3 linked regions of the Drosophila melanogaster genome follow. The protein of the gene in region 1 interacts with the protein of each later gene in a pairwise test. Each region holds a gene or a part of one and is shown in the gene's direction. Other genes may lie near its edges.

Evidence for each region.
Region 2: the proteins of CG11349 (region 1) and Osi15 interact in a two-hybrid assay, tested with the Drosophila melanogaster proteins (one large-scale study listed by BioGRID).
Region 3: the proteins of CG11349 (region 1) and CG14757 interact in a two-hybrid assay, tested with the Drosophila melanogaster proteins (one large-scale study listed by BioGRID).

The regions. Positions count from the first base shown.
Region 1 is NT_037436.4:4,471,166-4,474,919, forward strand, and holds the start of CG11349 (uncharacterized protein), read left to right. Parts: upstream 1-1,902; 5' UTR 1,903-1,911; coding exon 1,912-1,914; intron 1,915-1,972; coding exon 1,973-3,754. Other genes in the region: CG32248 (uncharacterized protein), read left to right, coding at 600-602, 674-1,219.
Region 2 is NT_033777.3:6,299,695-6,303,448, forward strand, and holds the start of Osi15 (osiris 15), read left to right. Parts: upstream 1-2,109; 5' UTR 2,110-2,218; coding exon 2,219-2,537; intron 2,538-3,097; coding exon 3,098-3,250; intron 3,251-3,308; coding exon 3,309-3,481; 3' UTR 3,482-3,754. Other genes in the region: Osi14 (osiris 14), read left to right, coding at 265-470, 525-883.
Region 3 is NT_033778.4:8,172,014-8,175,767, reverse strand, and holds CG14757 (uncharacterized protein), read left to right. Parts: upstream 1-2,154; 5' UTR 2,155-2,270; coding exon 2,271-2,288; intron 2,289-2,398; coding exon 2,399-2,595; intron 2,596-2,996; coding exon 2,997-3,273; 3' UTR 3,274-3,404; downstream 3,405-3,754. Other genes in the region: LRP1 (LDL receptor protein 1), read right to left, coding at 937-1,111; Mlh1, read right to left, coding at 3,424-3,754.

The DNA.
Region 1 (3,754 bases):
CTGAACAATTAATCAATCAGTCCATCAATCGAGTTAGCGGAACATTAAGTCATTAGCCTGAGCAATTTGTTTGCTTTAAGTGGATAAGGTATACGGCTGACTAGATAGTTTATGACCGGCTAATTGCTATACTTCTTGTTCTGGATCGATTTAAAAATAGCTCTCTGCTACTGTTTCTATTAACCCAATATCGGGTTTAGTCTTAGCAAAAGCTTGGGTGAATTAAAAAAGCTCTTCTTCAAGACGAAACCAAACTATCAGGTTTGCGATAAAATTGTTTTGGCAAAAAAATTAAGCTGTGATACGTGTATTCTTATGAATATTTATATTTAATATGACAGCAAAAAAATGAGAGTTTTAAATCCAAACTCCATGGCGTACCTAACTGATAAAAACAAGCCCCATATGGCGTCGTGGTCGAGGTATCTGTTTGCCCAATTAAACAAATTTTTCGACGCGAAGAAAAACGTTTCGTTGATTTATGATACTCAGCACTTCCGTTTGGATCCGCAGATTCTCCGACTTGTATAAAAGTACAGGAGTCGCCGGTCTAAGATATTATTCGGTTCGTTGCTCCTAAAGCAAACAGATCATCTAAAATGGTAAGGATCTCCCATCTGTATTGCGGATTATATTAGTTGGCATATTATTCTATTTCGATTTTTCCCTGTAGAAATTCTTTATCTTGACCTTGGCCGTGGTTGGCTGTGTGGCCGCCGAATCTGGCTACAACTACAATGCTCCCCGCCAGGTAGCCGCCTCTGCCCCGGCTCCTGTTTTCCAGCAAGCTGCCTCTGCTCCGGCTCCAGTGAGGACCTACGTGCCCCCAGCTCCAGCTGCCTCTGCCCCAGTGCAGTCGTTTGCCCCTGCCCCAGCTCCAGTAGCTGCTCCTGCTCCCGTTTTCCAGCAGGCCGCCTCTGCACCCGCACCAGCCCGCACATACGTGCCTCCCGCTCCCCATGTCCACCACCATGCCGCCGCCTCAGCTCCAGCTCCCGTTCAGTCCTTTGCTCCTGCTCCAGCTCCCGCCCCCGCCCCCGTGCAGTCCTTCGCCTCTGCTCCAGCTCCTGCTTTCGAGTCCTCCGGACCGGTGTTCGAGGCCGCAGCTTCCGCCCCCTCTGCCGCCCGCTCCGGATACGATTATAGCCAGCCCGCCGCCAGCCAGCAGGGATACAAGTACAAGACCGTCCGTCGCCGTGTGTTCAAGCACCGCGCTTAAACGATGATGATGATACGATAAAATGCGACAATAAAAAACTCGAATATTAAATTTATAAAAACATAGTTTTATTTGAGCATTAAAACACTAATAAAGATAATATGATAATTTGATAATTAAACAAGAATGATATGGTGTATAGTTTTAGCAAAAGAAGCGCGCAAAAAAAAAAACTATAAAACCTAAAACAACATTTCAAAAGTGCTAAAATTCTTGCTAGAAAAGAAAAAAAAAATCGCAAAATTAAATTTTATTAATAATTGTTAGTTAGTACTGGAGTGCAGTTTTTCTTATCCATAACTAACAATCAGTTGTTAATGATAAATTAGTTTGAAGCTTCAATTGTATTACTAGGCCAAATTCACACCTGGAAACGAAGTTCAAAGAACCCATGCGTTATCGCATAAGTGTGCAGCGCACTTGGGCCAATAAATTTAAACGCTTTGATCTGACAAATTTACGGGACACTTTCGTTGTGCTTCAGAATATTCAATAGAATTTAAATTGGCGGCTATTCAATAAGAACAAATGGGTCACATAAAGCGCGGAATCGATTTCTCACGCTCGGCAACAGGTTTCGCTTTCAACTGTGGTCTTTTTTGGGGGCTCGATGTGGGGATGCAACAAAAAAGATCCCGAAGAGAGTATATAAGTTGCATCTACAGCTGCTTACAGTCACTGGCACTTTAGCAATGGTAACGGATCAACGATAGGTTCTAGGTTCCGCATTTCACCAATCCATTTTTATTTTAGAATGTCCTCGTGATCCTGGTTCTATGCCTTATGGCAATCGCATGTCTGGCGGACGTTTCCCATGTGAAACACCACAAGCACCAGCGGCATCATCACTCCAGGGATCACGAAGATGACGATGAGGAGTCCCATTACCTACCTCCCCACGAGGAAAAGGAGGTGGAGCAACCTTTTTACAAGAAGGAGAAGCACACCAGTGAAAAGGTGGTTTACCACAAGGTAGAGGAGCACGAGGAGCCCAAATACTACAAGGAGCATCAACATGAAGAGCCCAAAAAGCAGCGAGTGGATCACTACCATCACTATGACAAGAAGCCAGAAGTAAAGACCCAGCACATTCACTACAAGCATAGCAAGCCCCATGTCCGTACGGATTACAATCAGGACTTGTTCACCCCAGCTGCTACCCAAGTGGTTTATCGCCGCCGTCGTCCTAGTCGAATTCTATACGCCAGTGCCCCCAACTCGGTGTTCCACACCCACACGCAGATCAACGTGCAGTCCCAGGATTCGGAATTGAATTCCCTTACTCGCCCAGATCGTGCAGCAGGAGCACAGGATCCTGCTGGGGCTCAAGCACCGACTGGAGCCCAGGCACCAGGATTTCGACCCAACTGCCAGTTTGTTGGACCTGGAAACGTACCACCTGGCTGTGGACCCTCTGATCCCATAGGTGCTCAGCTACCAGCCAGTGCTTTGGCTCCCACTGGTGCTAATCTTCCGGCCAATCAACCTGTTGCCGGCGGACAATTGGCTGTTCTGGGTAACGGTCAGCGACCTCCACGTCCAGGTGGCTATGGAGGTGGATATGGCAACCGACTCAACTTTTTTGTTGATCCTTCGCTGGGCGCTCAGCTGGGAGCCATAGGTAATGCTGGAGCTGGAAATCAACAGGCTGCCGGAGGAGGTCAGCTTGCGGGAGGAGCTCAACTTGGAGGGAGCCAAGGATTCGACCCTTCCTTTGGTGCCCAAGCAGCTGCCGGAGGACCATTTAACACTGGTTTTGGAGCTGGTCAAAGACCTCAAAGACCTGCGCAAAACCAATATGATCCCAACCTTCAGCTAGGTGGCCCTTTTGACCCCTCCGTGGGTGCTCAATTGGGCGCAGGTCAGGGTGTTTCTAACCAAAGACCAAGTGGACAGGGAGCATTTGATCCTTCTACAGGTGCTCAATTGGGCGCAGGTGAGGGTGTTTCTAACCAAAGACCAAGTGGACAGGGAGCATTTGATCCTTCTACGGGTGCTCAATTGGGTGCAGGTCAGGGCTTTAACCAGAGACCAAGTGCACAGGGAGCATTTGATCCTTCGACAGGTGCCCAACTTGGAGCTGGACAAGGCGTGCCTAACCAGCGACCCAATGCAGCTGGACCAGGAGCTTTTGATCCCAATCAGCGACAGTCCGACCCCTCCATTGGAGCCCAATTGGCAGCGGGACAAGTACCACGCCTCAACAACCGACGACAGCGCAATCGATCCAACTACCAGGGTCTCAATGTGCTGAATGGAAACGTTTTCGGACAACCCCATCTCCAGGGACCCACAAATGCGCTGGGAAATCAACAGGACACCAACATCATAGACGGCAACTTCTACAGCGATCCTCATCATGGACACCAGCGGGCTTTGGTATCGGTTAATCCTAATCAGCGTTCAGTCCTTATACCCGATGACGATGATGCGGACGATGATGGGCAGCTAGGATTTCTGGGCTTTGCGGCTAGTAACAAGCAGTCCTCTTATGTGGTTGCTCCCAAACAACTGCGATCTCATAGGCGCAGTTCA
Region 2 (3,754 bases), on another chromosome or scaffold:
AGTTTAGAGAAATTAGTTATTAGATAGTTATATTCTGATACCCATTTTTTATGGTCTTTATAGATTTAAATGGTGAGCCAAGGCTAAGGCTAAAAACACTTCATAATTAATGTTAATTATTATTGGAATTCTTACATAATTCCAAAAATTATGACAGTAAATTTAAAAGTGGTATAATAAGACATTAGAGGCATTCGGCATATAAGTTGTCATAAAAGTTAAGTAAATGTGAAAATGTATTTATAACTTACAATATCATTTTAGGGATCCCGCCAGTCCCGTTTCCCGCACGGGAAAATCGATGAGCGAGCAGGATGTCTATGCCGAGCTGCCCCAGAATGCCGATGAGCGTACTGGTCGTCTAGTGGATCTGGCCGTCTCTAGTGCCGCCGACTTCCTAAGCACCCACAACCTGGAGTTCAAGCTGCCCGCCGAGACCACCCAGCAGGTGGCTCGTGCCCTCGATGAAGGTGGGTTTTGACTTGGGATACGATAAAACATGGTTACCTAACATCCAATCACAGGCCGTGGCAAGATCAAGAAGATGCTGGGACCCGTGGCTCTGGCCATTGGCGCCAAGCTGTTCGCCGTCATTCCCCTGGTGCTCGGGTTTCTGGCCCTGCTGACCTTCAAGGCCGTGATCGTGGCCAAGCTGGCCTTCTTCCTGGCCATTCTGGTCGGCGGATCCCGCCTGCTGGGCGGATTCGGCAACAAGTTCGGAGGTAACTCCTTTGCCGGAGCCTACAACTCGAACGCATGGTCCGCACCCGCCAGCGCCGGCTGGAGCTCGGGAGCCTCCTCGTCCTATCCCTATGCCCGCAGCATCAGCGAGGATGGGTCCGATGCCCAGCAATTGGCCTACGCCGGCCAGCAGCAGCAGTAGAAGCGGCTGGGAGACAGCTCAAACAGATGTGCCTTCGTTTTGAAACCTTTAGCCTGTAGTAATTTATTCGAAATGTAATTAACTAATTTATTGACACACCACGCACACATCACCCGCAAGTCAAGTCGAATGTATGAATAAAACCAAGAGTATTGCACCCGAAAAAAATATAATCCGCAAATCCACGCACGTGGACAGTGCTCACCTGTGCCCAGAGACTTTCCCAGTTTCCCAGGGCTTAATTGAAATGCTGACAGACCCCAAAACAAATATGTGGAACTTTGCTCGCTGGGCGGCAACAAGTTTGCGGCTGGCAATTAAAACTTGTGGCAGGTTCTGTTTCTGAACACAAAAAAAAACCCAAAAGAACACAGAAAATGTTGAGAAAAAGAGCTGATAAGCTGGGGATTTAGTTTTTGGCAAGTTGGTGGCCTGCTCATAATTGGAGTTTCTAGTGGCCATGTGACGGCCGTTCGGCATGTTAATTGTTTGCCAGAAACTTTCTACTTATGCTCATAAAAGTGTCACTTTGCGATTGAAAAGAGATATATGCGGCGATGTGCTACAATTCAGCTTTCTTTCACAGGCAGATTTAGAAGCAATTGAAATAGAAAACAAGCCACGAACGACAGTTGACAAAGGGAGAATGAAATCGAAAGCGTTGAAAGCGCCAGAGTAACTAACTGGGCCAAATTGTGCATTAAGTCACCACCGGCGGGGCATACCAAATACGTGTGGGTCTCGCAGATCCACCACTATATTCTCCGCTCCATCGTGAGCCCTGATGGAGCTAATGGAGAGGAACAACCGGCCAAGAATCTGGCGCAGGCAATCCCAACACGTAGCACCGGCGACTCCATTGAATGCCAATTAGGATACGGATAACGGTCGAGCACCCGAAATCGGGCCACTTGCTTATATAAAATATATGTATGGTATATACAAAAAAATAATATTCAGCCGGCCGACCACTGGCCACTTCCCTTTCGTTGACATCGCGACGTGCGTGGAAATATGGTCAAGAAACTGCCGGCCAGGTAGCATACGCATATGCTTTGCATAAATTGCTTTTGGATTTTTGGTATTGCCGTTCGGTATTGTTATTGTTATTGCAGCGGCGAGCGGTGCGTTTTGGATTTTTGGCCTGCCACGCGATTTCTAGCCACAAAATTGGTCAATCGACGTCAAATCGAAATGGTATAAAACGCGGGGGCAGTGCATTCAATTAATCACAAAGCGATTCCCGTTCACATCGGCAGCACTCACCAGCTCCAGGCAGCCGTCCCACGGATTATAACCTACCCAAAGTCAAGACACCCCCAAGTGCTAATAAAAATGTGCGCGAAATTCGTATGTGTAGTGCTGCTGGCCAGCCTTGTGTGCGGTTCCATGGCCCTTCCCTCCCAGGACAACACCGAGCGGGACCTGGTCAACATGCTGAACCGCTTAGACAGCGAGGAGTCCGTCGCGCTGTTCGGCGGTCTGAGGATCGACCGGTCGGAGTCGGGCCGTAGCTTCGGTGCATCCAAGGCCGTCGAGTCCTTCGAGGACCGCGCCGAGCGCTACCTGGAGACCCACGAGCTAAACCTCTCCTTCTCCGGCGATGAGCAGGACGAGAACTCCGAGAACGAGTACACCGGACGCGCCATGGATGGTGAGTGATCTTGGTTTCCTTTATTTGAAAAACAGAATATAGTTTAATCCAAAGAAAAAAAAGCTATTTAAGCTACTTGCTTTTAAAGTTTTCATATTGCGTTGAATATCTTAGATACTTAATATTAGGTCAGAATTTAAAAATTTGTATGTTTTTGAGAGACATAAATCGATAGAATGGTAGTAAATACGTGAGTTGATAGCCAAAGAATTTTGAAATAATTTTAAACGAGTTATAAGTTACATTTTTATTAATTACTACAAAAACAGAGGCATTCGTGCGCATACGAGAATAGCTTTGGTAAACCGTCCTGGCTCTCAAGTCGTTCCTGTTCTGTACGGTAAACGAACACTTCAAAGTCTACTTACTAAGGCTAAACGTACTAAGGTCCACTCTGCTGTGCAGAAAGCCAACTGCCAAAAGCAAAACTACTAGCATACTCAGTTGTGCTGACGGGAAGCGAAGTGAAAGCTTTACCTCGACTGCCAGGCCTTGAATACTTTTAGGAGCATGGCTAAAACCCCGATTTCTCTTTACTTTCTCCCTCCCGGAATAAACAGAGTCCCGCAGCAAGCGCATGAAGAAGATGCTGCTGCCCCTTCTTTTGGCCCTGAAGCTGAAGAAGGCCGTCGTTGTCAAGATTATGTTCACCATCATCAAGTTCATCTCGCTGAAGGCTCTGGCCATCTCCTTCCTGGCCCTCATCCTGGCTGGTGAGTTTACTTTTAATGATCTCAGGAATAGCACTTTTTACCCACGTTTCCCGCACAGGTGCCACCTTCTTCAAGGATCTGTTGGCCAAGAAGAAGGAACACATCACCACTGCCTACATCACCGGCAGCCCGCTGAACGCCGACATCGTGCACTCCGACTGGAGCCGCAATGGTCAGGCAGGTGCCGCCGATCTGGCCTACAACCACTATGGTCTGGCCCAGCCCTTCTAAGCCGGAAAACACCCACCGATCCATCCATCCCACTCTGTACTAGCCTCTATCTTTCACCTGCTATATCTTATCCTACCAAAGCGTCTCCCTTCTTCAACTTCCCCCCACTTCATCACCATTTCCACAACCTATCCCTCTAAGACTTTCCTGAAGAATGGCCTAATTCGTAGTCAATAATTATTTAGTTACATTTAGTTAGTTAGCTGCGACATACCAAAAAAAATCACAAAAAAAGAGAACTATTGAAACGGTCCCTCGACTCTTGGCTAGCCC
Region 3 (3,754 bases), on another chromosome or scaffold:
GCGCGTTCCTTCTTCACAATCTTAACGAGATGGGGGCAGCAGTGGCCTTTGTGCGCAGACTTTTGGACCCCCGGGTCATGGATCATGTGCATGCATAATGCGACCGAGTCAAGAAGTCCATTGTATGTATGTACATAATTTATTTAAATTTATTTGTTGTTGCAGCGCAAATTTTCCGCGGTCATAAGTATTTCATTCGGTGTCAGCGGCTGACGCGAACTACGAATTATATGTATCTTTACTTGCTTACATGCAAAATGTCAAGTGATGGGTTCAAGTGTAACATTTCTAATGATTTTTAATAACTATTCTTTTCTCTTTGAATAACATATAACAATTAAATAGTGCAGTTTTTAATTAAATATAGACCTTAATTCAGTACATTTTTACAAGACTTATTTCTCTATAAGTCCTTCAACTTTTATACTTGAAAACTCTTTGGAAAGAATGCAAGCTCAATTACTTTTTTTTTTGACTATCCTCGAGATCTGCATCTTTGCATGATGGCCAAATATTTTTATTTAATTCTCGTTGCGCGAAAATTCCAACCGAAACCGCAAAAAAAGCGACAAAAATATTTTGCATACACTTGTTTTTGTTTCTATTTTCATTTGTTTTGCGGCATTTTGCGGCGAGAAAACCAAGGAATTTGCATAACAAAGTGAAGTGACGCTTGATGGGGGAGGGGGCATGGAGAAAGGGGAACTAACAGCATACAAAAACAGAGAGACAAAGAGACCGACAGAGAGACAGGATGGCAGACGGAGAGAGCAGTTGTTATTTTTGGCACAGCCAGTGTGATGGGAGGGGAAGCGGGGGAGGAGTTGTTTACTTAGGCCAGGTTAATGCACCGCAGATTAACAACAATTAAGATGCGGGGGAGCGAGAGGGAAGAGGGAGATAGGGAGATGAGCCAGACGGAGATAGCACACGTACCTTTATCGGGAAGGGGACGCAGAGTGGGGGCCTCCTGTTGCTCCTGCCACTGGACCTTCCTGTAGCCGCTGCTGCTGCTGCGACTATTGATGCGCCCGCTGCTGTTGCTGCTGCATCTTTCCACGGCGACCAACAACAACAGCAACAAGATCCATGAATTCGCTGTCGCCGGCATTATGCCGCTGGCCGCTCTCCTCACACACACGCTACCACGCACACACAGACGCGCGCGCGACTCTCCTTGTTGTTGTTCTTCTTCTTGCTCTCCTTCGTGTTGTTTCAGCCTTCCTTTTACACAATAACACAACACTCACACACTCACAAACTCGAACTCACACCAAACACACGTAAACCGGGGGTGGCAAGCAAATCACAAACAGGTAACTTTTTTTTACTTAGATTTCCATTGAAACATGCATTTTGTTTGTTTAATTTTTCGAAACGCTTTACGCGCTCAGAATTCGCTGCACATTAGTACACCGCACTCAATCACTTCAGCATCCCTCATGCCGCGATTTTCTTATCCGCCAAACACAACGGAAAAAAACAAATATTAACTCATTATATTTTGCCGGCTGTTTTCACCGAAGCGGCGTGATTTCCCGTAATTTTTTCTTCGACTTCAGCAGCACGCACGACCGCTCGATTCTATTATATTTCGATCTCTGCTCTGCGAGATTTGCGCGAAGCGACCGAACACCTTCAACTGCGTTTACCGATTGAAGCGCTCCAACCGGTTAAATACTACGCGCAGCTATTGAACAGTATTTTTTACAGCCGCGACTCCGGTCACACCGTCGATGTTTGTGTGATGAAGAAATTTAACAGTGCTGTTAATTGGCCACACAGAAATTGTAAGGCGCTAATTTCAAATTAATTTGATTTATAATCACCTCATTACTTTTAATGGGGATATTTGTTCCAAAAACATGTATAATCCAGTTCTACGTAATCGACGTTGTCGATGGTAAAAACACCACACACAAAACAACACACAACATTACTGTGATGCTTACTGTAATAATTATTTTATAACTCTTTTTAATACTATTATCAATGATTCCCGGATCTCTGGATGGGCGGCGAGGGCATGGCCGTCTGGCGATGCCATAAATATCAACAAGTGCTAATTAAAAATAAAACAGAGGAAGGCCCTTAATAAAAAAAGCTCTGTTAGACAGAGAACGCACTTTTCGTTTTTTAGTCACAAATCGAACGGCCGGCAGTTGTCAAAATATTTTGATTTTTCAAATTTTCCGATAGCTCAATACAAATCCAAAAATACCCACCGAACAGAAAAATTTTTAAGAATTCCATAATTGTCTGTACCCAGAATGCTGCGCCAACTACGGGTAAGCCCTGGAAATGTACCCGAACCGGTTGCATAAGACTGCAATTGAATGCAATTTATGCAGTTTTTCTACATATGTACATTTTCTATTTTTATTTTCGTAACGCCCAGTTGACAATGGATATTTCGGGTTGGATCTTCCTCCCGTGGAGACGCTCCATGTCCAACATGAAGGACTCTCCTCCACCGCCACCACCACTGGCCAGCACTTTCAACGACGTGATTGTGGACTACGAGGACCCGGATTATCTTCCACTGCCGGAGTATCCGGTGCGTCCAAACGAGCCGTTGGAAACTCGCAAGCAACGGTGGGTAAAATTATTAACTATTAATTAATAACTACTACTATAACTATACTTTACTTTATTCTATACTTTACTATACTTACTTTACTTATAAGGAAAATCATTAATTAAAAGAGCTCATATTTAATATATATATTTTCCCTTTGCTCTCATCCACCATTGCCTTAAACACTTCCATTTATGAACTCTACTTTTTTTTAAGAAAGCATGACAACCTCTATTTAGAAAAATTTATACTATTTTAATTTTAAAATGTAGAACAGAAAAATAGGATTTAAACTCCAAGTTTCTTTTTTCTTCATCATCGATCGCACTTCTTAATTTTGCATCAGTTGTACAACCAACTAAGCTATTCTTTCCATAAGTATTTTTTAATATTAACCAGAAAAACACTTCACCTCCAGGCTTTTGTACCAATCGCGCAAGCGCGGAATGCTGGAGAACGATCTTCTGCTGAGCACCTTTGCGGCCAAGCATCTCCAGAACTTCAGCGCCGAGCAGACGGCGCAGTACGACCAGTTGATCAACGGGGTCAGCAACGACTGGGATATCTATTACTGGGCCACCGAGGTGAAGCCCACGCCCAAGGAGTACGACACGGAGATCATGGGGCTGTTGAAGGAGCACGTCAAGAACGCCGAACGGGTCACGCGACTCCGCCAGCCGGATCTGAATATTTAGGCATGCACCTGGTGCTTATGAATATGATTAGTTAGAAGTTTATATGATCCAGGAGATCATATCCTTACCACAATAACCAAAGCGCAAATATGTATGTTTAGAATACCAAATATAATCAATATTTAAAGTTCTGGAAGTGAACAACCTAAACTAGCACCGCTCGAACACCTTGTACAGAGTGGGCAGGTTAGTGAGCTCGTAGATCTGATCCTTGATGCGTGGTGGTGGCAGAAGATATTTTTTAAAGGCAGGAAATAGAACGTGTTCCATTGTCCATCTGGAAAAGCCCGCAGTCGCACCTTCCCGCCAATCCAATTGCGCGTAAAATCGAGCAGTTTCCCTACAGAATGTCTCGAAGCATCGTGTCTCCTGCTCCCAGTCCACTTCGGTGGCCAAGCGGAGCAGGTAAACAGGCAGGTGGGCCACACAAGGTCGATGCTGGTGCAGCAAACTGGGCAGAGATTCGAGCATTCCATCCTCC